2 linked regions of the Sus scrofa genome follow. The main gene of each other region encodes a partner of the protein of the gene in region 2 in a complex. Links are inferred from orthologs where the notes say so. Each region holds a gene or a part of one and is shown on either strand. Other genes may lie near its edges. The genes, in order: KCNJ8 and ABCC9.

Evidence for each region.
Region 1: the proteins of ABCC9 (region 2) and KCNJ8 are in contact, whole or in part, in a cryo-EM structure (PDB 7MIT), measured with the Rattus norvegicus proteins. The link is inferred for Sus scrofa from reciprocal best matches to the Homo sapiens genes ABCC9 and KCNJ8. Residues at the interface, in XP_038963045.1 of Rattus norvegicus: Phe5, Ile10, Tyr13, Asn14, Ile15, Val19, Asn22, Cys24, Phe25, Ala28, Leu29, Val32, Val35, Phe36, Phe39, Phe42, Pro43, Ile44, Phe46, Ile47, Gly48, Trp49, Gly50, Ser51, Lys55, Gln57, Ile58, Asn129, Phe130, Lys132; in NP_058795.3 of Rattus norvegicus: Met1, Leu2, Lys5, Ile7, Ile8, Pro9, Glu11, Tyr12, Val13, Leu14, Ala15, Arg16, Ile17, Ala19, Glu20, Asn21, Leu22, Leu45, Ala46, His47, Lys48, Asn49, Gly54, Arg55, Phe56, Leu57, Asp59, Ile60, Thr62, Thr63.

What each region holds. Positions count from the first base shown.
Region 1 is NC_010447.5:51,689,305-51,705,217, reverse strand, and holds KCNJ8 (ATP-sensitive inward rectifier potassium channel 8), read right to left. Parts: upstream 9,292-15,913; 5' UTR 8,885-9,291; intron 7,961-8,884; 5' UTR 7,904-7,960; coding exon 7,530-7,903; intron 2,485-7,529; coding exon 1,584-2,484; 3' UTR 816-1,583; downstream 1-815. UniProt on the Homo sapiens protein: Inward rectifier potassium channels are characterized by a greater tendency to allow potassium to flow into the cell rather than out of it.
Region 2 is NC_010447.5:51,551,461-51,566,789, reverse strand, and holds part of ABCC9 (ATP-binding cassette sub-family C member 9), read right to left. Parts: intron 12,019-15,329; coding exon 11,852-12,018; intron 10,803-11,851; coding exon 10,560-10,802; intron 8,367-10,559; coding exon 8,172-8,366; intron 5,785-8,171; coding exon 5,632-5,784; intron 5,131-5,631; coding exon 4,975-5,130; intron 3,439-4,974; coding exon 3,304-3,438; intron 1,503-3,303; coding exon 1,340-1,502; intron 1-1,339. UniProt on the Homo sapiens protein: Subunit of ATP-sensitive potassium channels (KATP). Can form cardiac and smooth muscle-type KATP channels with KCNJ11. KCNJ11 forms the channel pore while ABCC9 is required for activation and regulation.

The sequences.
Region 1 (15,913 bases), about 140 kb from region 2:
AGATTTTGCCAGTAGGAATGAAGCGTTTGCTTTTAGACATGATAACGTTTAAATGTGTATTAGGTATCCATGTGGAACATCAAGTACTTGTTTGATACACAAATCTGGAGTTCAAAGGTGTGGTTAAAATTTTTTAGAAATCATTAACTCAGTAACCTGTGAAATGTTCCTTAATCTGGTTAGAAACATGAGTGTTTTGTTTTAAGACAGCTTTTGAATATAATCATGATTTCCTATGCGGATATTGAAGTAAAATAAAGACAGACCCCAAAAGCTGTATACAAGAGTACCTGAGAGCTCAGCTTTCTGATGTTTAACTATGTGAACTATAAGAATAAACCTGCTGGTTATTAACTCTTTACTTGCCACTGTGCCCTCATCTCTTCTTGAAGAGACAGGAACTAAGGATGATTAGATCAAGCATTGACAGAAAATCTCACTTTAGCAATTGAGATAATGCTGTATTTCTATATGATAGGTCTGAATTCCAATATTACTGAGAAGGAAGTGTAGTTTTAAAATGGGAGGTGGGAGATCCAAAAAAAAAAGTTTATAGGATTTCCATGATATATTAAGCTCAACTAGAAAAGACAAGAGAACTTTCTAAAACTTGGAATAAAATGAAAATCTTAAAATGTAGCTCCCTTGGAACAACAGATCTCAAAGAGAGGGCCCCTCAGAGAGATCTCAGAGGCGAGTGTCATCACTCCGTGATATCTCTTTTACACCCCTCTAAAAATGTCTATTTCTTGAGCTTTAACTAGGGCTTTAATCTTGAGCTTTAATTTCGTGAAAGGGAAATGGCAAAACTAAAGTGAATACAAAAATTTCATTTTAATGAAATATTCAATACAGTGGAGGCTCTTCAGAAGAAGTCAGAAGCCAAAAGAAGTAGCTGTCACTTTGGAGAATCCAGTCCTGAATGAGACAGGAATGTTCTTAGCTCTTCTCCAAAGCTCCTTGGCCGGTTCTGCCAACAGGTGGCCAAGAAACCCTTGGAGGTCACTGTGAGGAACAAGCGAATGAACAGAATCCACTCAGAAATAGATTAGAATTAAGACGTTTCAATTTTTGCTTCAGGCTTCTTACCCTGTGTAGTTTTTTGTTTGTTTGTTTGTTTGTTTTAAGGACAAAATAGGAAAAAAAACCACGATTTTGGGTCCCATGATCCCTTCTATCACATTTCTAGAGTGGACAACAACAGAAACAGAGAGATCTGTGGTGTCGCCCACTGAGCATTTCAAGCAGAATCATTCCTTGGCCAGCTTTTCTAGCCAAGGTCTATATTACTCTGCATGTAATGTAATTCTTGTGTTTCAAATGGAGAGACACAAGGGTATTTCCTACTTAAGCCCATCACTGCCAACTCTGCATGGATGAAACAAGTGTGAGCCATGAACTCTCCACTTTGTGTTACTGTTTATTGACACTGAAAGCACTGCTGTTGGAATATGAGTATCATTTAGTGCATGAAGATCTAGAAAGACAAATGATTGTGTTCCAGCCCTGGGGCAGTCTGTCTGTGCCCTGCATAAATCCTTCAACATCTCATAAAAGACTTTTGTGGGGGGGTTGTCTTGCTGTCAGGATTCTGACGTGTTCTGATTTCCTTCTGGGGTCATAAACTGCACCTTGGGCACCATGAGGGAGGAGTTGTTCCGGCGGATGGAGTTGTTCCTCCTCATGGAATTGTTTCTTCTCATGGAGTTGCGCTTCCTCAGAGAGTTCTGGTGGGACAGTTCACTCTTCTGGAGGGTCTGAATAAGGATGGAAGGCTTCTCGTCCAGCTCTCTGGCACTGCACCTCGGGGCAGCTACCTTCACTGTGTTGCCAAATTTAGAGTAATCCACAGAATACACCCCTTCCTCCTCCGTGACGATGGACACAAAGCGATGGCCCCATCGGATCTCCTCGGCGATGTAGGAGGTTCTCGCTTGTGTGGTAATGCCCGTCGTTTCTACCACTCCCTCCAGGATCACAATAACCTCCAGGTCTTGGTTGGCAAGGTCGGTGGCTGAGATGTCATACAAGGGGCTGCGCTTGTCAATCACGTGGCAGATGATCAAAGGGGCCACCAGAAAAATGTTATTACTCTCAAGCGGGTTATCAACAGGAATGTCCAGCTGGTGAATAGGCACCACCTCCCCTTCGGGTGTTGTGGTTTTCTTGACTACCTGGATGCGCACAGAGGCACTGATGATCATGCTTTTCCTTAAGTCGCCCACACGGAACATGAAACACAGCTTGCCATTTCGGACGGCGATGACAGCATGGCGACTGAAAATCAAGGTTTCTGCCCTTCTGTGAGCCTGGGCTGTTTTCATGAAAATGCAGCCCAACATGACCGCATTGATGATCAAACCCACAATGTTCTGGAGAATCAGGACTGTGATGGCCAGCGGGCATTCCTCTGTCATCATTCTCCCTCCAAAGCCAATTGTCACTTGAACTTCAATAGAGAAGAGGAAAGCAGAGGTGAAAGACCTGTAAGAAATGAGGTCAGAACACAATGCCATCAGATCAGGTTTTCCATCATGAAATAACATGCTGAATTTTTTGTTTTCTTCTTCCAAAGGCTATTTAAAGAAAAATGTACTTTGTATTGAAGTATAGTTGATTTACAATGTTGTGTTGGTTTCAGGTATACAGCAGAGTGATTCAGTTTTTATATATGTATATATAATGGATAAGCAATGAGGTCCTGATGTATGTAGCACAGGGAACTACATTCAATCACTTGTGATAGGACATGATAGGAGATAATATGGGGAAAATAATGTATATATATATATATGTATGTCTGGGTCACTTTGCTACACAGCAGAAATTTAGAGAACACTGTAAATCAACTATACTTTAATAAAACAAAACCGAAAAGATATTCAGCTTAGTTCCCTGTGCTATACAGTAGGTCCTTCTTGCTTATCTACTTTATATATAGTAGTGTGTATATGTTTATCCCAAACTTCTAATTTATCTCCCCTCCCTTTCCCCTTTGGTAACCATACATTTGTTTTCTATGTCTGTGAGTCTATTTCTGTTTTGTAAATAAGTTCATTTGTACTTTTTTTTTAGATTCCACATATAAGGGATATCAGATGATATTTGTCTTCATGTGACTTGCTTCACTTAGAATGATAATATCTAGGTTCATCCATGTTGCTGCAAATGACATTATTTCATTCTCATTTATGGCTGAGTAATACTCCATTGTGTGTGTGTGTGTGTGTGTATATACACACACACACACACATATATATTGTATATACACACATACATACAACATATGTATACATAGACATACATGTAGATATCTGCATCTACCACATCTTTTTTTTAAAGATGATTTTTATTTTTCCATTATAGTTGGTTTACAGTGTTCTGTCAATTTCCACTGTACAGCAAAGTGACCCAGTCACACATATATATACATTCTTTTTCTCACATTATCTTCTATCATGTTCCATCATAAGCAACTAGTTCCCTGTGCTATACAGCAGGATCTCATTGCTCATCCACTCCAAACGCAATAGTTTTCATCTCTTAACCCCAGACTCCCAGTCTACCCCACTCCCACCACAAGTCTGTTCTCCAAGTTCATGAGTTTCTTTTCCATACCACGTCTTCTTTATCCATCAATTATTTATGTCCAAAGGCTATTTATTGCTTTTGGAAATACTTAGCCAAAGTAACATATCAAATGCCTGACTCCAAACACAAACACTTATACATTTTCTCTCTCTCCCTCTGCATGTATCTTACTTCCAGGCTTCTCTGATACACTACTATCAATGCTTCAAACCATGAAATGATGGACCTATTCATGTGAAAGCATTAAAATAATAAATAGACACATTCATATTAATAGGCTTATTTTACTTTGTGAAATACTTCACTTTCATGAAGGCATAGTTTACTTTGTGAAACGTTCTTCCAGGTCGATAACCATTATTTATTGCCTATGTGTGTTCAAGTGACCTGAGTCATATGGAACATACTGAGTAATAAGAGAACTTTTTATTATTTATAACCTTTCAAATCATATTCATTAGTGAACAGTGATTGCATACCTTACATAGAGAGAGTGTTATATTTTTAAAAAAAGAATGTGGTGCCATTTGAAAGGAACTCTGTTTTCTCATTGTCTCATTTTGTTATCTAGAGAATACTGAAGCTATTAAAGGAAAGATTTGAGGTAGAGATTAGTAACTGACTGTGTCAAGATCATATAATTAATAATAACTTGAATCCTCTCAATTCTGGCCTAGTTACTGAAAGAGGCACAGGGAGGGGCTAACAAACGTTAGGGTTTTTCTTGGGAAGCCTTTTCAAACTGTGCTTCTCTTCCTGATCTCAATGTAAACACTGGTTTGGTAGTTTCAGGGTGGACCTGGGCTAAGACTTTTGAAAAGCTTGCAGAAGACTCTGACTTATCTCCGTGGTTGAGAAGCACCACAATTGGTTATTCTTAACTTATTCACGTAACTACATATCCTACACTGTTCTGGCTTCTTAATAGAAACAGTCTCAGTCTTTGTTTGCCCCCAATCCTAATTTCGGACTTTTCTAATTTTATAGAAGACTGGCCATCTGTTAAAAGTATTAGCTGTCTATTAACTCCACACACACAAAGAGTGAGAAAATGTTTAAATATTTGAGTATTGAGTCTATACACTACACTTTGGTGGGACTGAGTGGTAAGCACACACAGATGATTTTCTTTCTATTCAGTCTCATAATCATGGATTTTTATTTTTTAAAATTGAAGTATATTGATGTCACAGATGATTCCTTTAATTAACTTTTAAATGGAGTGTGAAAATTGCATCTTTTACCCCTTTTGTTGCTAAAAAATTCATGGAAACTACAATAATTGCTTTCTGCACTAGCTACACACTAGATATATCATATGGTCCAAAAACATGGCAAAGAATAAGAACATACCCCAGAAAAGGGACACAAACACAACACTGATTTCTAATAACATATACTTGCTTTAGGGAACAGTGTAATGATGAATATGCTCAGAGGTTTCATTTTCATGGCTTAAGAGACTATTCACGTGCCATATTTTGTATGTTGTTTATTTTAGGAAAGAACTTACTTCCAAACATTACATGGTGCAAGACCCAGCCTTTTATGGACACCTGTTGTGCAAAACAGTCTCAAGAGATGAAAGTGTTTAGCTGCTCATTTGTTCTGCTACAGAAAGAAGGAGCTGGACTGAATGGTAAGAGGAAGTAGCTTGGTTTATTTCCTAACTCATGTTAGAAAGGCATCCACATGAAAGGAAAAGTGAACCAGCCTAGAAGGAGAATGGCAAATGTTAGTTGGACATACTGGAGAGTATTACAATGGGTTGTTTTCAGTTTTGGTGATAAGGGAGGACATTGAACTTATGAAAGGAAAGGAAATGCAAAGAATTACACATATTATTGTTCACCTTTTAAATCCCCTTTGGGAGAAAATAGAAAATTTTCTGTTTCTATTTTTTTTGGGGGGGCTTATGTATTATGTTCAGTTTGTTATGATTAATCTCTATGTTGCTCTGAAGTGTAAGTAGTACCATATCATATAAAATAAAACCAGTAAGATTTTCACCATAAAAGATGTCAAATAGTATATTTTTTTAGGCAAGAAGTGCAACTTAAAACGCTAAAATTGTCATGCTGATAAAATCGACTTTGTCTCATTATATTGGCGACACTTTCTCACAGTGAACTGAGTAATCACACAAGCAGGAATCCATCAGAATGAACATCCCACAGAACACATCTTATGGAAAAATAAAAGCTAGTAGTAAAATAGCTTTCAATAACCAGTGCGCTCTATCAAGTTTATAAAAATAAAACCATTGAATAGATACCACTTTTGATGATATGTCTCTAATAAACTGCTTAATACCTTATTTTCCACAGGAAAAGCCCACATTTTGGTCTTGTGAATAACAGCTGTCATTTATTTTTCCAGGTTTACCTTTTGTTTCTCTCATCTTTTTATGAGTATCTACTCCATGTTCATTAAAAACGTATTTTGATAGGAAAAAGATTCACAAATATGAGTGCCAATAAATTTCTTAAAGAGAAATATTATAAGGATATTTGACCTACAAATACTGTTAAATACAGTATTTTAGTTGTTTCCTTTATTTGGTGTACTAATGACCACCTATAGTATATTTTCTTTGAGACAAGTTTAAGACAAGAAAATAATATCTAATGGTAAAGCCAATGGATCAATTCAATATAGTTTCCTCTCAAAATCTGAGCTGAAATCTGTAACATGATCTCTGTGCACAAATACTGTATCCCCTCTCCCCCGCCCCCTAGATATGCTGGCATCTCAGCTACTCAGGGAATGGAAGGATGGATAGTTTACAGTCTGGGTTTCTGCCGCTTGCAGTGGTATGATAATTTCATGAGATTTCAGGGTCAGTAAAGGTCTCGTTCTTTACAGTTTCCTGACAAAATTAGTGCTTGTTCAAGTTGCTTTACTATATGCATTATGTAAATTGTAATATTATTCAAAAAGTATCCTGGAAAAGCTTCTAGTATTATTATGTTTCACTTCAAGTAAATATTTTTGCATTTTATATAATTATCTCTTTTGATTTTCCAGCAAAATAATTAAGACATATCGCCCCAAGTCAATGTTCTTAAGCCATGTGAAAATATGAGAAGAGAATCACTGAAATAAAATTCACTTTTCTTATCTTTGAATATTTATGACATAGAGAAAAAAAAGCAAAATTAGGGCAGTCTAAGAAATGTCTTCCTGTCCTACTAAAACTTTTAAAGAAAACCACAACATTAAGTCACTTCTCCATAGTCTATTCCATGAAAAATTTGGAGCAATTTCCATTAAATTATTTTTTTCTAGTTCTGAATGTTAGCATAACTTTTAATTTTGGAATTCAATGCAAGCAACCAGCTATTTAAGATAATCTTGAAAAAGAAGGGCTTATATTTATTTGTTTAATTTCTAGTGTAATTTTTTTTGCTAGGACATCTCTCCACCAGTGTCTTCCCGTTTTCCTCATGATTTCTGAAAATGTCACAAGTAAGAGAAGTCGTGGAAAAACATTACTAGCATTTGTACAATATTTTTGGTTGATCGGAGGTATTTCCTTGTGGATACTGGAACTATGGACAGCAGCTTTTTCATGCTGAAAACTGAACGTGCATTTTTTTTTTTTTTTTTTTGAGAAGGACACTTTGTGGAATCTTGTGAACCACAACCATTTTTAAATAGCCGGTATAATATTTTAATATTTTCAAGGCCAGCCTGAGTGTTGAAACTCTGTATTTTCAAAGTCTCCTTGTCCATCAAGCTGCATCTAAAAAGATCTTAAAAAGACTAATGCGTTAGGTTATTTTCTTGTTTTTGTTTTGTTTTACTTTTTTTGTTTGTTTCTGAAGGTACTAAAACAAACTTGGGCCACTTAAAACAAAACAGCAGAGTGAAGAAAAGGCAGTTCAGTATTTTTTTCTGTACTGTTTCCATCCCTGCCTCATCCACTGCCTTCTTACCTGACATTCGTCACACACACAGTGGACTCCAAACCGCTCTTCTCTGTCCCGCCTTTCTCCATGTAAGCATAGATGTCCCCATGGGCAAAGGCCACCAGCCACCACATGATGGCGAAGAGCAGCCAGCTGCAGAGGAACGACATGGTAAAGATGACCAGCGTGTGGCGCCATTTCAGGTCCACCAAGGTGGTGAAGATGTCCTGGAGGAACCGTCCTTGCTCCCGGATGTTCTTGTGCGCCAGGTTGCAGGCCCCGCTCTTGGCGATGAAGCGGGCCTTGGGGAGGCGGTCCCGGATGCGCGGTTTGCGCAGGTTCTCTGCCGCGATGCGCGCCAGCACATACTCCTCCGGGATGATGCTCTTTCTGGCCAACATCGTCCCGTCACCATAGCCAGCCTATACACCTGTCTCTGACCTGCCTCTCCTTCTCTCCTGCAGGAGGGAAACGAAGATTAAAAAACTTTTCTCCCCATTTCCTCACCGCTTCAGTCCTTGCATTAAGGGGTGCGTCTATACATTCGAGGTGACGTGCAAAGCTAAATGCATGATCTTACTCATCGAGTCTAGATAACGCTTAAGTTCTGGGATCCCGGAGAAATTAATTGGTATGAATCTGAACTGTTTTAATATTCCTTATCGCTTAGAACACATAAGGGCATAGCCTTAATTAAACAAAACCAGGAGCCGTCCTGTAAACAGCAGGCTCAATGATAATTCTAAGGTTACCCACGTCTGTTGATTAGTGCAAGGATACAAACGCGCAGCGTCTATGAGAAATATTAAGGCCAGCTGGGTATCAGGATCTGATCTATTTACTAAAGTATTCACATGATATAGCAATACTGAAAGTAAAGAGGGGTAATTCTTTTTCCAATATTTTTAGAAATAGGCAGAGCAAAAGGCCGTGGCCTCCTGAGCAGTATAAATAACACGTTTCGTGTAATTCGACAAAATAATAAGTTATGTGCTATGTAACTTGAAAATCACGAAAAAGTATTTCAGACAAGAAAGAAGTGTGAGTTGCATTTAAGAAAGAAAGAAAGGAAGAAAGAAAGGAAGAAAGAGAGAGAGAAAGAAAGAAAGAAAGAAAGAAAGAAAGAAAGAAAGAAAGAGGAAAAGAAAAAAGAATTCTCCACTGGAACTCTATAACTTGAAAACTTTACGACGAAGGGATCAAACATACAAGCTGCAGGAAAAACCCGGATAGCCTTCGGGCTGCGGATAGAGTTAATTAAAGAATGTGCCCCGAAAAATCCATCCGACGCTTAAACCTCTCCCGTGTTTTGCATTTTAAATCATTTGTGGGGGCGCGGACAGCACCCCCCTCCCCTACCCTGGAGGAGCGTTGAAACTTACAGACTCTGGACAGCTGGCGCGGCGGCCGCACCTCTCCGCACACGCCTCGCGGGCAGGTCCCTCGATGTCCCATCTCGGCGCGCGGGAGCAGGGGCCGCGACTGCCGGAGGGACAGTTCCGGGGACCGCGTGTCCTAGGGAGAAGAGTTAAAATAATAAAAGGTGCAAGTGAATCTGAACGCGGGGAGGGCTGGAGGAAGGGGGATGGGTATAGCTCTTCCCCTCCCCCTGCTCGGTTCTATTCCCCGGCCACTGCCGGTGGCGGAGGAGGGGCTGGGGGAGAGGAGCTGGGGGTGATGCTCCACAAGTCAGCCTCCCAGTTCGGTCTTTGACGCGCCCCAGACCTCTGAGGCCTCCGAAATTGCCCAGATGGGGGCGGGAGGGATTGGCTGGGAAGGCGAGTACTGGGAGGTAGGGAGCCAGCCAGGAGGAGGGGCGACGGAGGGAGGGCGGGGCCTGTAGGACCAGCTCCTTTTCCCAGTAGCTGAGACCCCCTGCCGCCCGCGTGACATGCACGTCTTTAAAAGGCTCCCTGCTCAGGGGAACGAACTTTCTGAGTTCACTGACGTAAAGAGATTTTTTTTTTTTTTTAAACCTGGGTAGATAACTGTGCTACTTAAGATTGAATAAAACCAGATATAGAGACCAGAAAATAGTCTCTGAGACGTCCAGACTGTGCGCACACATACTTATTTACATTAAATTCCTGTCTAGTAGGGGTGATACAAGTGAAAGATGTTCTGAAAACCAAAACCCCTACGTATATTTCTTCATCAACCGAAGCTAGTTCTCAGGGACCAAAAAAAGAAAAAGAAAGAAAGAAAAAACACTCAAAGTTTCTTCCAATAAAATTTTTTTTACCCTAAACAGGACTGCTGTCAACACTTTAGAACTCAAACCGTTGTTCTTCAGTAATTGGTTGCTTTCTGAAATGTTGCAGCTTCTCCATCTTGTCTAGATGGCCTGAATGATAAAACAGAGCAATTGCGCACAAGAAAGCTTATACAGTAAATATCTTTCTATAACATTTTGAAAAGGAGCCAGCAAAGACAAATGTGCTTACTCCCACAGGTCAAGCCTCCTGATTTGGCTCTTGTGTTAATGGAAACTTTAATTCTTGGAAATTTCATGTATTTTCCAAGACTCAGGGCAGAAAGTGTATGGAGCATAAACAATGTGTTCATTTAATTACTAAGAGACCTAAAATTAGTCTTTAATGAAGGCAAATGAAGAACCATTTTTTCCCTTTGTGGATAGATCTGCTTAACCCCTTCAAGCCTGAGATCCTAGTCAGATAGTGGTAGCTGTTCCCTCTACTGTCGTGAATTTTTGAACTTTTACAGTAATTTATGTAGTTGTTTTACCACAAGTGTGTGGGGATCAAATTGTACAGTTAATCCCCTCGTTATTCTGCTTTACAATTGTTTGGTGTACAGTTTATTCCCTGTTATTTTAGCTGGGGGAAACATTTGTTGAACACTTCATAAGGGAAGGAATATACATATATACGTGTGTGTGTATATATCACAGTTGCTGTTCTTAAGAGGTAGACAATTGTAGTATGAGACATGACTTTGATAATAAACTCTAGTACAAGCACTGATGTGATTAAAATAAGAACAGAAATATAACTAAAGTGCCCTGGAAATTCAAATAAGAGATATTAAGACGAGAAAACTAAGGAAAGAAAGCATTGTGGATTTTTTGGCATCTGATCTAGTCTTTGAAAGACCAATGTATTTGCATTTGCAGAAAAGCTGAGGAAAGACATTTCACTGAGAAGAAAGGTCATGAACAAAGTGACCAAGAATTGACAAGAGTGGGCCATGTTTTAGTAACAAACCAATATAATCTTCATTGATGAAGCAAGGTAAGCAAAATAACAGGATTGGATGCTTGAGGCTGGTGCTCTCTGGGCAGCCTCTGTTGCCACCACTCTGAACACACAATAGGTTATTCATGTAAGTGTCCCATCTCCTGCTCTGCTCACAGCCCATGAAACTGGGGCTGCTAGAGGACAGGGCTGTGACTTGTTTATCCTTGTATCTTAAGCTTCTAGCACAGCTTAAATCACAGAGCGGCTCAAAGAATACTTTTCAATTGTTGAATGGGAAACATAATATTGAAAACCATGTTGGTGCTTAAAAAAATACATAGACAGTCTTAAATACTCAAAAAAGGAGTCTGGACAGTCTTCAGGGGGTGGCGGTAAGTCACGGAAGGATTTTTTATTAGAGAATACTGTAAGTGCCTGCTTTAGCAGAATCAATCAGGAAAAAGACGCCCAGATGACTTTGATGGTTACAATGCTAAGCAGAGTCCCTTTAGGTGCCACAATTCTGTGATTGGCAGAAGGGAACACTGGAAACTATTGTGTTAGTTAGAGAAGAATTAGGTCTGGGGCTAATAAGCAATGTCAGTGGACAATATAAAATATGTGCAAAAGGAAGGCTATAGAGTCAATATTGGGAAAAGTAAAGTCACAGATGACTCTGACATTTATTGTGATGACAGAAAAATAGTAAGAAAATTGAATGAGAAGAGGTGAACTGTTGAGGAGTATTATGAGAAGATTTACAACAAATAAACCCATGTCTGAATCCTATGAAAATTCTGGTCTTTCACTATAATACATATTTAGGATTCATTTTTTTCCCAAGATATATTCTTCTAAATATGCAATTTTAAATCAAGTGTTGACTTGTTCTGAAATGACAAACTCTGTACCCTACCTAAGTCAAAATAAGGGCACTAAGAATGCACATAATCAAGGTTAATTTTAAGACATTAATCAGTCAATTTTTGTCGATAATAAATCTAAAAACAAATAGCAGCCTTTCAAAGAAAGGTGGGGAGTGTATGCTGTAAAAATATTATAGACTTTCTTTTTTCTTTCCTCTTTCCATTCCCTTCCTGACATCTAAAAAAAAAACTCATTCCTTTCACTGCTTTTTCTGCACTGAGTGGAAGCTGCATGAGGGCAGTAGTTTGTTGTCAGCTACCACAGACCTAGTGTCTTGGAATTGTTGCTACCTCTTAGAAGTAGGTACTCAACAAGTATTTGTCAAAAGAAGGAAAGAAGGAACAGTGCTCTCAGCACAGTGTTTCTCTCTTTCTTGCACTTAGTCTGACTCTCCTCTCTTCTCCTTTTATGTATTTGTAATAATTTCTCACAGTTCTCATGGGTAATCTGAAGCTTAGAAATCTCCTTGGAGTTGAGGGCCATATCTGTCTACAGATTTCCTTACTCATCACCTCTCCCTTCTGCCTTTACCTTTTCATTCTCCTCCCTTCAAACCATCCACTCCTTCCTTCCTCAGCAACTCTCCTAACCATTCCAGATCCCCAATACTTAAACTTATTTAGATATTAAACTTGTTTAAACTTGGCTTTTGCTGCCTATGTTTCTCTTGACAACTATTTAGCCTAATGAAGACATATCTGTATCCCCAAAGGTCCTTCTGGATACACAGTAGCTGCTCAATAAATATTTATTATTGACTGATTTCTAGTTTCTCCTTCTTCAGTTCTTCTCATATCATGGTCCAAATAATGAACATATAAATTTACCTCTGAAAAGTTTATGAAGGAAATCAACGTTTCAAGATCACATTGACTACTTCAGGCTTATCTATGGTCTATTTATTTAATCACTATTTTGCTATCCTCCATTTAAGGTTTTTTTTTTTTAATTTAGGTATAGTTGATTCAAGATATTGTATCAGTTTTAGGTGTATAGCAAAGTGTTCAGATATATATGTATATTTATTCTTTTCATTATTCTTTTCCATTGTGATTTATTACAGGTATTGAATATAGTTGCCTGTGCTTGTTGTGTGTGTGTGTATATATATATAGCATATATATAGAACAGTTAAGAAAACTTTATAATATACTTTATATATATACTGTTCTATAATTTCATAATTGTTCTTTTATAAATGAGGACTAATTTGTGCTTTACTCCTAGAGGAGACCTATAATAGGTTTAGAACAGAACTAAATTTAAATCTTATGATATTCTCAACTATTCAGGAATCCTGTAAGAATCTGCTCATGTTACATACCATGAAATTTATGCAATAATTGGGAAGTAATTCAAGGATATCTATTAACTTATAAGTAAACATCTCCTAAATGCCTTTTAGACCCTGTGAGCATTTTAGTTGTGGATAAAGAAGTTTCTGCAACTCTCTTTCTCTTAAGAAACAAAGTTTGTCAGGTGCCTTCAAATAAGTGGAGGAAGGTTGATTGATGCTTTTTCCATTTATCTACTGCTTTGATTATCAGATAAAAATCAGTGAAGTCTTTGGAAGGACTCTTGAGATAAGGGGTGAAAGAAATCCTTGCATTTGATGACCTCGCCTTTGACTTGATTTGTGAATTTGGAACTCTTGCTTTTCCTGAGCCATAATAGACTTAAGAATTTGGAGAGTCTTCAAAATGACAATGGAAACGATTCATGTTAGCAGCCCAAATAACAGTTGGTCTATTTGCTTGGTATGCTGCATTATTAGTGTCCTCATATAAACCACTTTGGAACATATTGCTTTGGAATCAGCTTAATAAACTCTTACATAAACTAGTAATCAAAACAGCATGTTACAAACTCACTTTTTTGGAGTTATCATGAAATGGAAATGACAATATAACTCTTCGTACTTATCTGTTCCAAAGTGTTCAGAGAACAGTTCTTTTTGAGATATGTATCAAATTCTGTGCGAAAGAGCTTCACTTGCCTTTAAATTAGGTCACGATTTTTCTTCAGCAATATCCATTAGAACCAGCAATGAAAAAAATCTCCATCCAGCTTGCATGTTCAACTCTTTAAACATCTACCAGTTCACAGGTGTGAATCTGTGAGTCAGGAAGGGAGCATTCATAACAATTGCTAATTAATTTTTTTTTCAATATACTAAACTTTAAAAGTTTAAAAAAATTTTATTATAGTTGATTTAAATTGTTCTTTCAATTTCTGCTGTACAGCAAAGTGACCCAGTCATACACACTTTCTTTCTCATATTATCTTTCATCATGTTCCAGCATAAATGATTGGACATAGTTCCCTGTGCTATACAGTAGGACCTCATTGTCTCTCCATTCTCAATGTAACAGTTTGTGTCTATTAACTCTGAACTCCCAGTCCATCCCATTCCCTCCTCCTCCCTCTCCCCCTCGGCAATCACAAGTCTGCTGTCCATGTCTGTGAGTCTGTTTCTGTTCTGTAGATAGGTTTTGTGTCATATTTTAGATTCCATATTTGTGATATCTTATGGTATCTATCTTTCTCTTTCTGACTTCCTTCACTTAATATGAGAATGTCTAGTTCCTACATGTTGCTGCAAATGGCATTATCTTGTTCTTTATTATGGCTGAGTGGTATTCCATTGTGTATATGTACCACGTCTTCTTAATCCATTCATCTGTTGATGGACATTAGTAGTTTACACATTTTGACTGTTGTGAACAGTGCTGCAATGAACATAGGGGTGCAGGTGTCTTTTTGAATGAAAGTTTTGTCTGGATATATGACCAGGATTGGGATTGCTGGATCATATGGTAGTTTGTTTGTTCTTTCTTTCTTCTTCTTTTTTTTTTTTTTTTTTGGTCTTTTTTGGGCTGTACTCTCAGCATACGGAAGTTCCCAGGCTAGGGGTTGAATTGGAGCTGTAGCTTCCAGCCTACACCACAGCCACAGCCACAGCAACGCCAGATCCAATCCGCATTTGTGAACTACACCACAGCTCATGGTAACAACAGATACTTAACCCACTAAGCAAGGCCAGGGATCGAACCTGCATCCTCATGGATACTAGTCCGTTTCGTTACCGCTGAGCCACAACAGGAACTCCTCATATGGTAGTTCTATATATTTAGTTTTCTGAGGAACCTCCATGCTGTTTTCCATAGTGGTTGTACTAATGTACATTCCTACCAACAGTGCAAGAGAGTTCCCCTTTCTCCACACCCTCTCCAGCATTTGTTATTTGTAGTCTTATTAATGATGACCATTCTGACCGGTGTGAGATGGTACCTCATTGTAGTTTGATTTGCATTTCTCTAATAATTAGTGATGTTGAGTGTTTTTTCATGTGCCTGTTGGCCATCTGTATGTCTGGAGAAATGTCTATTCAGGTCTTTTGCCCATTTTTCAATTAGGTTTTTTTTTTTTGCTGTTGAGTTGTGTAAATTGTTTGTATATTTTGGAGACTAAGCCCTTGTTGGTTACATCGTTTGCTACTGTTTTCTCCCATTCTGTAAGTTGTCTTTTTTTTTTTTTATGGTTTCCTTTGCTGTACAAAACTTATAGGTTTGATTAGGTCCCATTGGTTTATTTTTGTTTTTATTTCTATTGCCTTGGGAGACTGACCTAAGAAAACATTTGTATGGTTTGATGCCAGAGGATGCTTTGCCTATGTTCTCTTCTAGGAGAGAAGATGTCTTGTCTTATGTTTAAGTCTTTATGGTTTCTTGTCTTATGTTTCAGTCTTTAAGCCATTTTGAGTTTATTTTTGTGCATGGTGTGAGGGTGTGTTCTAGTTAAAAAGTTAATTTTTATTTTTTTTTTATTTGTATTTTTTGCTTTTTTTAAGGGCTGCACCCACAGCATATGGAAGTTCCCGGGCTAGGGGTCGAATCGGAGCTGTAGCCGCATGCCTATGCCACAGCCACAGCGATGTGGGATCTGAGCTGTGTCTGCAAGCTACGCCACAGCACATGACAACGCTGGATGCTTAACCCACTGAGCGAAGCCAGGGATCGAACCTACAACCTCATGGTTACTAGTCAGATTTGTTTCTGTTGTACCACAATGGGAACTCCAAGATTAATTTTAAGTTTAATTTTTAATTTTAAAATTTTATTGAAGTATAGTTGGTTTACCATGTTGTGTTAATTTCTGCTGTACAGCAAAGTGACTCAGTTACACATATATATTCCTTTTCATATTCTTTTCCACTATATAGTGTATCACAAGATATTGACTGTAGTTCTCTTACCATGCAGTAAGATCTTGCTGTTTATCAATCAT
Region 2 (15,329 bases):
TCATTATTTCTGGCTGCATCCATCCTTCTCTTGAGAACTTCAGTCCACTGAAGAGAGGAAAGTACTGTAGGAGCTCCCAGCTTAGAGAACTATCACATAAGCAAGTGGATATCAATCATTCTGACACCATATTAGCAGTGGTGCAGAGCTGGAAGGTAAATCTTCTTCCCATTTCATTTTTAACACATTCAACATGAGAGCTAGAATAAATGAACTATATAAACCATGTATTTTCCTTAAATCCGTTTCAAAAAAGAAGTGTTCATAATCTCTAAGAACTAATGTAGCTTAGAATTCAAGAGGAAACAATATATAAACCTCCAAAACGTTAAACTGTTGAAAGTCTTGGGAACCACAGAAATGAGCAAAACTGACACACAAACCAAATCAAACATCAGTGGTAGCAGTATGGCTAGAGTTCGTAAGAACTGTACTAACATAAACTCATTATTTTTGAGAGCACTCAGTGTCACTCTTTGAGAGGAAAAAAAAAAAGATTTTGTAACAATTGCTTTTTAAAAATTTGAGTTGAGAAAGAAATGCATTGTATTTTAAAATTCTTGAAAAAGTATTAGAAAAGAGGGTTTTATGTGAATGAAGTTTGGTTTCTTTCACCTGGAAATGTTGCCTTTTTTTCTCCTCAGTTTTCAAAACCAATATTTCAAGTACAATTTTCGAGGAAACATCATAAACTCTCAAAAAGATAGGTAAGACAACTGCAGATAATTTTAAAGGATCTTTGGGGATAAAGTCAACAGTAATATAATCAAATCAATTTAAATAAACAAATTTTTGGAGTTTCTGCTGTGGCGCAGTGGGTTAAGAATCCAACTGCAGCAGCTCAGGTCTCCTCAGAGGTGCAAGTTTGATCCCCGATCCTTTATAGTGGGTTAAGGACCTGGCATTGCTGCAGCTGGACCCAGAACTTCCATATGACGGGTGCGGCCAAAAAAATACGATAAATAAATAAATACACTAAAAAAATATTTAATGAAAACCCATTCTCCATCACAATTGTAACTGCTAAGAGGATTTCAATGATCAGTATTTTAATCATCACCATCCCCATTTTACAGATGAAGAAACCAAGGATTTCAGAAGTCAAGTAACATGACAAAGACACACAACTTGTAAAGAGTAGAATTCAGGTATACTTGACTCTAAGTTTGTCCTAACTCGTCTTTAAATTTAAATAGCCTCATGTGGCTCATGGTTACTGGACAACACAAATGGAGAAAATAAATGGGCTTCCTCTGATGCCTGGAATGCCTCAATGATCACAACTGAAACTGATTAGACCACATGCTCTTTGGCGGTTGTCTGAGCAACAGTGACTTACTGGAGAGTGATGTGTAAAGAGCAAAGGTTTTGAGACTGGATAGTTCTTTCATTCTTGTTTCTTCCACACTCTTGCAAAAGATGTGCTCCCATGCGTACAACTTTAGAAGTTTGATGCCTTTCAATATTTCATTTGTTTTCTTCAGTCTCTCAGTGGAATAATCCTATAAAAGAAAGGAATAAAAAACAATGCAAGCTGTAGCCAAGTAAATCAGAGAGGCAAGACCATGTACTGAACAGGGATTGAGCAGAGCTTGATTTCTGCCTGCCTCTGCCACTAATGATGGTTGTGAGATTCCCAGGAGAAGTAGTTAAACTCTATGTTTCTGCCTCCGATGTGAAAATGAAGTGTTGAATGAGATGGCCTGAAATTCTTTCCACCTAAAAACTTTTTATGTCTCTGTTCTTTGGTTTAAATCAAAGCAGTGTCTTAAGTTTCACATGATCTGCTTGAATAATGTTTGCAGATACTACATACAGACATGTAGGGAAATGATAAAGAGGCTTCCAGTGACTCCTAGTATCTAAATCATTTCTTCCTCTCCTTAGCACTGTCACTCAAACTTAGGAGAAGAGAAACAATGCATTTAAGAAAAGTTAGTTTGCTTCTGATTTGGGAATATGAGGGACCAGTGTTGTGTGTGTTCATATTGAGTCCTCATTAGGCACTTATCAAAACCAAGTCTCTTATCTTTAACCTCAAGAGATTTCTACCTCCTTCTTCATAAGTCCTTGTGTAAGAAGACCTAAATTACATTCGCTGATTATCAACAACTTGGATTAACTGTAGAGAGATGCATACCAGATACAAAAGCCTCTCTTTGGACAACTGTTTCAGCTTCCTCCAAATATTACATTAGAATTACTAGGAAGGTACACCATGTCCTATGAATTCTCAAAAGGAGCTGCCGGGTGGCCAAAGGCAGAGGGAAGGAAGGAGAGGCAGCAAATGATCAAATTTTATTCATCTTTCTGTCTCTTGGAGTGTCTCAGCTGCCTACCAATGATTGTTGGTGAATGACTGCAGTATGAATAGTTAAATGAAAGTCAGATGTTGGATTCTCATGTCTCCTCTTTCTGTCCCTCTTCCACACCTTTCTGTAGCCATGTCCTAGAGGAAAGAGGGTAGGTGACTCAGACAGAAATAATGGCTAACCTTGCCAGAAGCAGAAGAAAAACAATGGGTAAAAACCAGTTGTGTGACCTGTGACTTGCCTGTCACAGTGGAAACACCAACTTGGGAACAGTCCACCAGTGGCAGCATCCCTAACATTTCACGCCTGATTTACAGGCAGCCTTGCTCATATTTAATCAAACTTTATTTCTAAACATGCTGTCAACAATTTTATTTTTGCAAATATTTCTTTAAAAGAAGCCAGTTCTTGCTCAAATAACATGATTTCATGACAAATTGAAGCCAGGGAGGGTCAATAATCGAGCTTTTTCTTGCTCGCCAAGTTGACCATGAACATACTCAGGCAGAGCAGCTGCCACTGAAACATTTCAGTGTAACTCCATAGCTCCTTACGTGGTCTGATTCAACCCTAAGGACATTTAATTTCAGAAGCACTGAATCTGACCCTTTATCTGTTCCTTGACCCATTTCTACCACATCAGTAACTGACATGCAATGTCTACATAATTGAATGCACATGTTTTTATTCGCTAGTACACATAAGTGTAAATAACTACAAGAAGATCTGAAGCTTCATCACATCATAACACATAAAAACATCAGGCATTGTGATTCTGGTATTTAGAAGTCAAGATCATTGCCTTCGATTTCAAACCCTCTTTGCAAAATTGCTGTACAACCCAGAAAATTCACATTTGCTGCTTAAGAACTGAAATAAGTAGAACGATTTCCAAATCATCCTGAATGGTACATGTTAATTTCCTATATATTCAAAAATAAAACAGCATCATTCAATTTTCCTAATAAAGTTTCCATAAGATATTACTTACAAGTGTGCTCTTTTGAGCCTCTGCCAACTTTGTAGCAATGAAGTATTGAATTGGTGCAAGGAGAACAATGACAGCGGCACCAACCAATGCACTGGATCCAAGCAAATTGTAGAGCAGAATCACTCCCATTATGATCTAGCAAGGAAAACACATGGAAATGGGTGTGGGGACCACTGCATGAAAGGAAGTATTTTTCAGTGAAATTGTAGTATTTCTTAATTATTGTAGTAAGTGTCTTTGAAAGTCAACTCAACCTCGACAGTTGGGTTTTACTAAGATTTATCTGGGGAGGGCTAAGTAGCAGGAATTTATTTTTAGTGTGATGACATGTACAGCTGATGTCAAACCAATTTACTGCACAAAGCTACAGGGGGGTTGCAGGACCTTCCAACCAAAAAGTCTTCAATTTTTTAAAACGACATGAATTTTTTCTTGAACATGTTGTCACCCACCATTGTTCCATATTCTCTTGGAGTTGTATTCGCTTTTCAAAGCAGGGAGGATGGAAAGTAAGAGGCAGCATCATCAAGGAAGAGAACAAGGATGGTTGTTTGTGGACTAAATGCTCTGAGCTCTTCACCTCCTCAATGACCCCACATAATGACGAGAAGGGTGGGGATAACTAAAACTGTGAAGAAGCTAAGGCTGATGCCCTCAAACCCAAGACTGAATGACTAAGGCCTACCCTCTCCAGGCTGTCACTCTCTTCTTCATTCTCTAAAAACTCAGGCTTTAACCCTACTATCTTCTCTCACTGAAATTTTCGTTTTCAAGTAGCTCAGCTTATCAAGGCTCAACTAATAAATTGTACCCATGCAGTTAAAGCCTTTAACCCATGCCTATATGCCCATGATAGCAGCTTACTAGTTACCTTCTGGAGGCACATTTTTAGTGCCTAACTTTGGGAATTCTAATCAAAATGAAAATCTCCTCCAGGTGACTCATCATGAGGGTACTCATTCAGAGAGAGCCTGGGATTTTTGATCCATTTTATTTTATTGTTTTATTTTATTTTATTTTATTTTATTTTATTTTATTTTATTTTATTTTATTTTATTTTATTTTATATTTTTTGTCTCTTTGCCTTTTTCTAGGGCCACTACTGTGGCACATGGAGGTTCCCAGGCTAGGGGTCTAATCGGAGCTGTAGCCTCTGGCCTACACCAGAGCCACAGCAACGTGGGATCCAAGCTGCGTCTTTGACTTACACCACAGCTCATGGCAACACCAGATCCTTAACCCACTAAGCAAGGCCAGGGATCAAACCTGCAACTTCATGGTTCTTGGTTGGATTCGTTAACCACTGAGCCACGACGGGAACTCCTGATACACTTTAAATTATACCATGTAGACAGCTACTTAGTTGACCTGTGTATAAATACATTTTGATAAAATGAAACAAAGCATACTTCAAATTTTACTTTGTACCAAGCACTGTGAATGATACACACTTTGATTTGATTTGGATTTCCCTTATGAAAAGAATGCATATATATATATATGTATGACTGGGTCATTTTGCTGTACAGCAGAAATTACACACCATTGTAAATCAACTGTGCTTTAATTTAAAAAAAATTAAATGAAAAAGCAAACAAGAAATTTAAAAACTTCGTTATCTTCTTGCTCTTATTTCCTTTGTGAATAAGAATCTTACTTATATTGACCTACCTGAACAGGCATAGCCCATAGATTGGGACACAGGAACAAGAACCACATGAGTTGATTGGTTTCAATGGCGACCAAGTTATTGATCTGACCCAGTGTCATCTCACCCATGGATAAATTAGATGTAGAAAGCCGAAGGATTTTATTGTATATCATGGCCTGTAAAAAAAAAAAAAAGATGTATTCGTGGCTTTAAACTTAATAATCAACATTATGCTTATTTATTCTCATTAAAAAAATAACATTTTAAAAATTTTTGAAAAAAAAGAAAGAAACCCTCTAATTCATCTTAAGTCAACCATTATTTTCATTTTAGTATTGTTATTTTAGTCTTCACCCAAATTAAAACTTACTTTTTCTGGCAATATAATAAAAACATATATTCAAATTTAAACATAATCTCTGGAACAAACAATAACAAAAATATGTGAATGCATGACTTCAAAATATTTTAACATATTATAAATGTTATTTTTAATTCAGTGGGTGTGTTAATTAGCTCTGTGGGGAGGGTAGTTATTAACTAGATCCTAGAAGTATTGTTATAATATCAAAATGAAAATAGAGGGAAAGAAACAAAACTAAAGTTTCTACTCTTCCTCTCACTGGCTGGTATGTGGCATTTTGAAGAAGCCAGGATCATTCAAAGCATGTACATACCAGCAGGGCTCCACGGAGGTTAATGCCAGTCTCTATGGTTACATAGTAGGAAGCCTGCAAAAACGTCCTTTGCAGGATAAGAGCCAAGAAGAGAAGAACTGCCAGAACATAAGAATTTTCAAGAAATTCCTTTGATGAGAGTTTTTCTGAAATCTTATCCCAAAAGAAAAGACATAAATTAAAATTTTTCATATACTGGTGTACAGTTTACATTTATTAAATGATACATGGTTGTTAAATCTAAAAACTCAGTGTCTTTATAAAACAGCAAGGCAATTTTGACTTTTACTTACAATGTCCACATATACAAATCAAACCAGTTCAATGTATAAAATCCTACACTGCTAATTAAGTTTTCTGGAAATGCTTGATTGTAGAAAATAAAAGAAAACTAAAAAAAAAACATTTCAATTTTTTTTTTGGAGTACTTGTTCAACAAAGACATATTCTACCTTAGTTAGCTGGAAAGTAGGCAATGAAAATGGAAGTTGGTTTAGACTGTAACTTACAAGTAGAAGCTACAAAACTGATAGTCCAAAGCAAGGCCAATAAAACCAAAATACAACATCCATAGCCTTATTGACTTAAAATAATTCTACACAGTGGACTTTTTCTGATTTTCACTTATATAATGAAATAATTGTATAAAATACATAATTTGGGTATCTATTTTGCCCACATGACACATCCAGTGACAAAACACAAACTTATGAAAAATGGTTTTAGTCTGATTATGATTGAAGTCATCATAAGATTATATAAAGTTGATTGCTTTTTGTTTGAAACAGCAGCATATGGTAACTTCTTTGATAGAAAACTGTGGCAAAAGCAACACTTGAATAAACACATCATGCCACTTTGGGTACTCTTTAGTTGTGTTTTAGATCCATTAATTTCTACTCTGGCCCCTTCTTCTTTCATGGGGATGCACACAAATGTTTAAGTTCTCTTCCTTCTCAGAAAAACATGGGGTTAATGTGTGGAAGGGGGAGGGATGATGGAATTCTATGTGGAATTTAGTTATCTACATGTAATTAGGCTGGTAAGGACAAAACCACCACAAACTGTATTCAGTGGTAAAATATATGGTTCACGTCAACAACAATTGAGCACCAATATATGCAAGGAACTTGGCTAAGCATTGTGAGCACAAATGTGAACTGTTCACAACCATTCTGTTTAAAGAGCTCACAACCTAGAAAGATAAGCATATCCATAAATAACATGTTTCATTATAAATAGCATTTATGTTAAGTGCCAACATGAAAACGATGTGATAGGAGAGTACAAAGGAGAGTCACATTCTAATGAGGACAATCAGAAAAAGCGTCACTGAGGAGGCAGCATTCATTGCAAGCTCTGCAAATTCATACAATTTTTTTTTCTGAAGTTAACTTTATTTTTTTAATTTGTAGTGATTTTTATTTTTTCCATTATAGTTGATTTACAGTGTTCTGTCAATTTTCTACTGTACAGCAAAGTGACCCAGTCTCACACACACACACCCACCCATTTATATATTCTTTTTTCTTGAATTATTCTCAATTTTAACAGGTAAAGAAAAGAGGACAGGAAACCAGATTGAGAGAATAGAAAAGGAAAATTGATTCACCTAGACTAGAGTTTCTATACATGAAACTAAGGAAATTAACTCATTTTAGAAAGAAACTGGGAAATAAATGATGCAGATTTTCTTAAGAATAGAAAAATAAGACTACAAATTGATAACAGCAAATCCCTTATACTATATAGCCTCTAACAGTAACATAATACCTAATAAAAATATGATGTGACTTGCTCTGATCATTGTGAAACAGACTGATAGCTTTTACTATACAACAAAAAGGATATGTGCATATTACAAATCACATTGCTAAAACGTCATTAGTCATAAGCCTAAGAAAAGTGACGCAGCCACCCTCATGTACTCATGCATGAAAATTCTTTACAGGATTGCTGTAAAGACCAAATAAAATAACGCGAAATTTTCAAACATCATTTCTGGCACACAGTAAATGCTTAGTAAATGTTCATAGCCTCTGAACCTGAGAAATAATTTTGTTGGTTGGATCCATTCAATGAATACATACCTATATAATTTTTTCTCTAAGGAAAACTACTGTTTTCCTTCTTTTAAAAAGCATTCACTTCTCATTGGGAATTAATACATACACACTACTAAATATAAAATAGATAACCAACAAAGGCCTGCTGTATAGCACGGGGAACTATATTCGATCTCTTGTAATAACCTATAATGGAAAATATTCTGAAAAAGAATAGATTTATATATGTATATATATATATATGAACATAAGTACATGTAATATATAATATATAGCTGAACCACTTTGCTGCATACCTGAAACCAACACAATGTAGCAAATCAACTGTACTTCAATTAAAACAAATTATGAAAAAATTCAATTCTCTATAAATAAGCCTATGCGAACTGCTCATCAAATGGTATTTTTAAAAAGTAAGAATTACAAAGAAATGTGCCAATAATATGTTTCCTTTCAAAAGCACCACAAACTTACTCCTGTTGCGTTATTTGTTCCATTCTGGGTTTCATTCACACGCTGAACGATTCCAGAAATACAGAGAGGCCCAGCAAAACCCAGTAAGTCGGCAAGATAACGAAATGTGCTACTAAGTAGAATCGGCCGTCCAAAAGCTGTGTACATTGCCAGCCATATAGATGGAGTCCGATTTGGATGATCTGCCACTTTTTTCTGAAAGAACAAAAAAAAACTTGATGAACCAAAATAAAATAATAGAGCAACAATTAATCTTACCAACTATAGAAATCTTTTCTTATATTTCAAAAGATTGAAAGTAAATGTTTCAATGCAGTACATATAGTTTAGTATCCTTACATTCTTTGCAAACAATAGCTACTGAATGTGTTTAAATTATTATTATAGTTGCTTTATAATGTTGTGCCAATTTCTGCTGTACAGCAAAATGACCCAGTTATATAATATATATACACATATATACATACATATATATACATTCTTTTTCTTATGTTATCTTCCATCATGTTCTATCCCAAGGGATTGGATGTGTTTTAATGAAACAGATTTAATGAAACAGATTGATTGAAACAGGCCAATTTTTCAAACATTTTGTATTATTTTTAGTTGTCAAAGGATGACCCCAAATTCTAAGAACCAAATTAATTTTAATTCCCTTTGATTTAGAAAATAAATAAATCTTTCATGAATATTACCAAATAACACTGTACGGAAAATGGTAAAATACAACAGTCCAGATTATTGACAGTCTATTTATGATGACTGAAGTTACTAGATCACAGGATATCAAATCACTATAAGCTAAAAAAAGAATATCCCAACTTCAAATTTTTTCTTCTCCAGGTATTTCCCATCTCCATAAATGGGAGTGGGATGAGGTGGGGGTGGTGATGTCAATATGTCATAAAGTTATATTAGACTTAACGTATCCTCGTTATTCCTTAAAGTGCAAAACAAAAATGGCATATTTGTTTAAGCCAACTCCTGACTTCGTACTTCTATAATCATTTGTTCAAAAGATTTTAAGGCCTGAACAATCATAATTACATCTTGGAGAGGAAGTGGATAAAGCTTTTTCACTGTTACAAAGAAGCTAACTCAATGCGTTAGAGTTCAATTGTGTTTAATATTCAACTTCCTGTGAGATGAATAATTTGATAATTTTTTAAAGTTTATTGATAAAAGACATTAACACCCCAACTTCAAGCAAATTTGTGTTATAAAGAGCACTCAGGAAACTTAAGCTAGGCTTAGGCTATATCGTTAATCTTTACTTTAGAAAATGAGCTTTAAATATTATGCAATACTTTTCCCAGAGGTGAAACCAGAGACATGACTCAGGTTCATTTGTAGTAACCATTTCCTGCAATATTAATTTCAAAACACATTTTTGACACAAAACAGAGGTCATTTTCATCATTTACCATAAATGCTTTGTTGATCTTGATTTAGAACAGCCAAAAACTCTCTGATTCACCATACCCTATTCCCTTCCAATGTCACTGTGAATACTCGTATTTTTAATTACAATAATATTTGTAGATTATGGCAATATAAAATACATTGTCCACTGCAGGTAGCATACATGACTACTCAGAATGATAACAAGATAAACTGAAAATATTCAGAGTCTCCTGTTTAAAATTTTAGAAGCAATGAAAAATACTCAAAGAAAGTACCAGAAGAAACCAATTTTGGCAGACATGTAGGATGATACATGGAGTAGGCAGGTGAGTCCCCTCTAATTTAGTTCCCCAACTTTGAAATATAGAGTCCAAAATTTAGTTAATCATCTATTTAAGGACTTTTGCTTCTCAAAATTAACTTTTCATGGATATGATCTATTTTCCTTTCAAATAACAAAATTATTGGCAAGATACTTGAAAAAAGACAAAAATTCCATGAATTATTAATATTGCTTAATAACAAGGATTAGACATACATGATTACTGAATTTAATTCTTACTTTCCACTAGAGCTCAGAGAAAAGACAGAGCTCCCTCCAACCCTCTTCGTCTCATGCGGGGCAACTAACCCAGCATTTTCACTGGCTCTTCTGGCATATTCTCAGCAGCCCAGTTAACAAGACTCAAAGCTACTGGGGGAGTTCCCACTGTAGCTCAGCAGTAGCGAATCTGACTAGCATCCATGAGGACTTGCATTTGATCCCTGGCCTCCCAGTGGGCTATAAGGATCCAGTGGGCTATAAGGATCCAGCATTCTCATGAGCTGTGGTATAGGTCAAAGACACAGCTCAGATCCCGTGTTGCTGTGGCTGTCACGTAGGCTGGAGGCTGCAGCTCTGATTCAACCCCTAGCCTGGAAACTTCCATATGCCTCAGGTGCAGCCCTAAAAACAAACAAAACAAAAACCTGATACTAAATTACCTTTTGTTCTTCATAGGCATCTTTCAGACAAACATAATTTGTTACCGCCCTCATGGCTATTGGTAATTTTCCAATGGCCTTCAGATCAATAGGCTTCTTATGAGCAGATATAATGAGCGTGTTCATCCACCAGTACGTTGCTTTTGACAGTAAATTCACAAACGGCTGGAGAAATCTCACTCCCAGATCCTGGAGGTCTTCAGGAGGCTTTACTTTCTGAGGATTCATGAAGAACACATATCTCTGTGGTAAGAAAAATTCCAAAGAATAACAGTTAACCTCCTTCTTTTTCCACAGATTAAAAATAAAATGTTCACCTTTTTTATATTTTCATTTCAGTAGGCTGAAATTTATATGTTCATATTTTTTTTCCATCCCTTTCTGAACTATTCTTTGGAGGGAAAAAAAAAATCCCTTTTGTCGTGACTATATTCTAGTTAAATTCCAGATTTTCATTTAATACACTTGAGCCAATACTAAAAAATCAATTATCCCTTTAAACCACATTTCTCCCTAAGAATCAATCTTTCTGGATATACTTTCGTGATACTTCATGATATTTAGTAATAGATTCAGCTACATGAAGATTTTTACATTATGTAGATGGTTTAAATGTGTTATCAAAGCATTATTGAGTCACTCCCTGTTAATTTGTGGTCTGGCTGATGTTCACTATTTTCCATTACCCACTGAAGCATGTATCTTGCCATTCAGAGCAAAGTCAAAGTGCTCAGACAGAAAAATGAACATTGAAAAATCAGACACTAGCATGTCACATAATAAAACTGACAAGGCTATGTGGCGGGAAGTGCAATAGGTCTGTAATCACAGACCAGGTATGAAACTTGACCATGTTACTTTGGCTATAAAGCTAAAGTTATGTCTACAGAAGTTTTTTAATCAATGAAATGAGTACACTGGATGAGATGATCTTCTTCTCAGATTGAAATTTCTGAGAATACACTAGTTTGATTAAACCAAATTTGCTTTGGACCAATCACAGATGATGGAACTTCCTGGTGAGAACAATTTCATCTATAATAGGGACTAAGCATAATGATGGCACATCACAGGCACCCAATCAATATTTACGAATAAATAAATAGATTCTAGGTTTACATTGAGACTTCTGGAATATTAATGGTCTGAAACTGAGTAATTAGTTCAACTTTATACACATAGATAATATATAATTGTTTATCCTCTTAAATACTAATGATTTCTAGCTGACTATGATCTTTAATATTTGGGTTTTGAATTCCAGTAACAAGCAAAAATCATTAGATACCTACTCTGACCCTAATGACATTGATCTCCACAGCCATCAGAAGTCCATTCAAAATGACCATCATGCCGGTGATACAGAATCGCAGGTCTGACACTCCCCAACCAGACTGCCAGTATTTGACCAACTTTATGGTTTTTGTGATAAAGGCCATTACCCAATACAGGAATAAGGCTGGAAAAATAAAAAGTAAAAAGAAAAAATACAATCTTTCACAGATACTTTTAATAAAAGTCACTGAAGTTTCAATATGAATACAATGCTTTTTAACAACAAAGACAATTTAAGATATTCTATTTCCAGATTATGTTATTTGTTTATAAAACAACATATATGCTTTAGTGTACTTTTGGACTTCTGAATTGAAGGTATAGTAATGACTTGAAAATATTAGTGCTTCCGCTCTAACTATGTGGGCTAGACGTGAAGATAAAAGGGGACATGTAAATAAGGATAGGCTATACTTTTCAGAACTTATGTATAATTCTACAACCTTTAAAATTGACTTTATCTTTTGGTCCTGTGTTTTTAAGAGGCCGTGATTATGTGATGAATTCACACATTGGTATCTGTAATCAAGACAGAATGGTGATAGCATAAAAATCCATGAATGGATCAAAGGAATGGAAAATACAGAGCCAAGAAATAGATTGTACTAAAAAAGTCATTCACTTTAATTTGTTACAAAGGTCCCAAAGCAATACAATGAGAAATGGAGCATCTATTCCACAAATGGTGCTGAAACATACAAATATGCATTTGGGAAAAAAAAAAGGACTTTGACGCCAGCCTTATAAAGCATACAAACAACTAATTGTAAATGGATAAAGTCCTAAAAACAAAAACTGTAACTATAAACCTTTAAAAACCAGGAGAATATGAGGGAAACTTATTTCGACAGAAGGCAAAGATTTCTTATGCACAGAGAGCAATAACTATACATGAAAAAGTAAATTATGCTACATCAAAATTAAAATCTTCTGCTCATCAAAAGACATTGTTAAGTAAGTGAGTATGAAAGCCACAGACTGGAAGGGAAATATTCTCAAAACATGTATCTGATGAAATACTAGTTTTGAGTATGTACAAAATATTCCTACAACTCAATAACAAAAATGCTATCCAATAAAAAGTGGGCAAGAGATATGAATAGTCACTTCACAAAGATAAAAAATAGCCAATATTCATCAAAAAGTGCTCAACATCATTAGTCATCAGGGAAATGCAAATCAAAACCATAATGTGTTATCAGTGCACACTCACCAACATGGCTAAATTAGAATATCAAGATCCTCAAATGAATGTGAAACAACAGGAATTCCTACACCCTGTTAGTTAGAATGTACAATAAACCACTCTGAGAAAAGATCTGGTGGTTTCTTCCAAATATACACATTTATGTACCTGTCCTCATTCCACGCCTAGGGATTTACCCAAGAGAAATAAAACATGTATCCTCATAAAAACTTGCACATGAGTGTTTATAGCAGCTTTTTTCGTTCATGATGGCCAAAACCTGGAAACAGTCCAGGGGTCTTTTGACAAGAGAATGGAAAAACTGTGCTATATTTATACAGTGGAGTATGACCCAACAATCATAAGAACAAAATATGGATTGATACCACATAATGGAGAAGTCCCCAAAAATCATGCTGAGAGAAAGGAGTCTTCCAGAGAAGAGTTTACACCATGCAATTCAATTTACTGACATTCTAGAAGAAGCACATCTAATCTATGGTGGGAAAAAAAAATCAGATTAGATGTGCCTCCACAGAGATGGAAATGAAGACTGACTGGTAAGGGGCACAAGAAAACTGTCATGGATGATGGTGATGTTCTAGATAGTGATACGGTTATACTGGTGTATGCATTTAGTAGATTAGATTTCTGTACTTTGGATGTAAATTTTATCCCACAAAAAGAACAAATATTTAATTTTAGTTAATGATAAGCATGCTGAAATAATCAGAGAGTGATGCATATCAACTCCTGCAACTTACGTTAAAATGCATCAAAAATAAGATGGATTTATGGAAGAACAGAGGAATGGAAAGATGTAGGTATGTGATAAAATAAATAGAATAAAACGTAAACCGAAGAATTGAGGTGGTAGATACTTGAGTGTACTTATGATTTTTTTAACTTTCTGTGTGCTTGGTGCTGTTTATCATATACTGTTGGAACAAAATTACTAGTTCTGTGATTTAAAATAAGTGTGGTTCTTCAAGGTCCAAATATTTCTCTCCTAAAACAAGGAGACCATTAGACTAGCTTTTAACTCTGTTCTTCCAGAAATATAATTAAATTGTTCCCTCTGCCTTGTGCCTACATAAAAGTTTAGAGGCTGATTCTGATTGCATTTCCTTCAAAATATTATGAAAAAGCATACTTCCTTTCTAACTACATTGCATAATTCTTATGCCATCATCAGTTCTTCAAAAACTTAATGTCTAGCGAATCAAATGTCCAATATTATATACATTTTTACTGTTGCCTTTTTTGGCATCTACTTAAAAAGATTTCCTTGATAATATCTGCTTATTTTATATCAAACAACTTTCTTTTCTTCTTCTTCTTCTTCTTTTTTTTTTTTTTTTTTTTTTGTCTTTTTTAGGGCCACACCCGCGGCATATGAAGGTTCCCAGGCTAGGGATCTAATTGGAGATGTAGCCACTGGTCTACGCCACAGCCACAGCAACATGATATCTGAGCCGTGTCTGCGACCTACACCACAGCTCACAGCAACACCAGATCCTTAACCCACTGAGCAAGGCCAGGGATCCAACCTGAAACCCATGGTTCCTAGTCAGATTCGCTAACCACTGAGCCATAACAGGAACTCCTCAAACAACTTTCTATTAAGATAATTCTGACCTGGACAGCCTTTTAAATTAATATTTAACCCAGACAGCTTGTTTTTATTTGATTACCTTTGCCCAGTCATATAATATGATGCAACACAGAATTAAATAATCAGCATATTTCCACCTATTCATTTTTAATTTTAATATCCTCTGATTAATAAAGTAATACTTGTGCAGTTATTCCTTTTTGTAATGGCTATATCAGTAGTCAATGTCATTTTCATCAAACAGCAATCAAGTGAAATCCACGAACCTTAGAAAATTGGAAGCATTCATTCACACAAAGAGGCACAACTCTGCCTACCATTTTAGAGAGCACACAGGCCCTGGCAGCCCATGCATAATTCAGGTTCCATACCTTCATCTCAGCTTTCCAGATAAAAGTGTACACCAAGGAATGCAAGGATGGATTGGAGTGTTACATTTAGCTATTTGGGATGAGTTCTATTACTTTAACATAAAGCAAAAAATAATATTAAGAATACTTTTGACAGTGTCTAATAGCCACAGCACAAGGAGGCAAGATAGGCTAAAAAAAATAATGTGAGGCAGAGTTCCCATCTACACGGAGCTACAGCTCCGATTAGACCCCAAGCCTGGGAACCTCCATATGCCACGGGA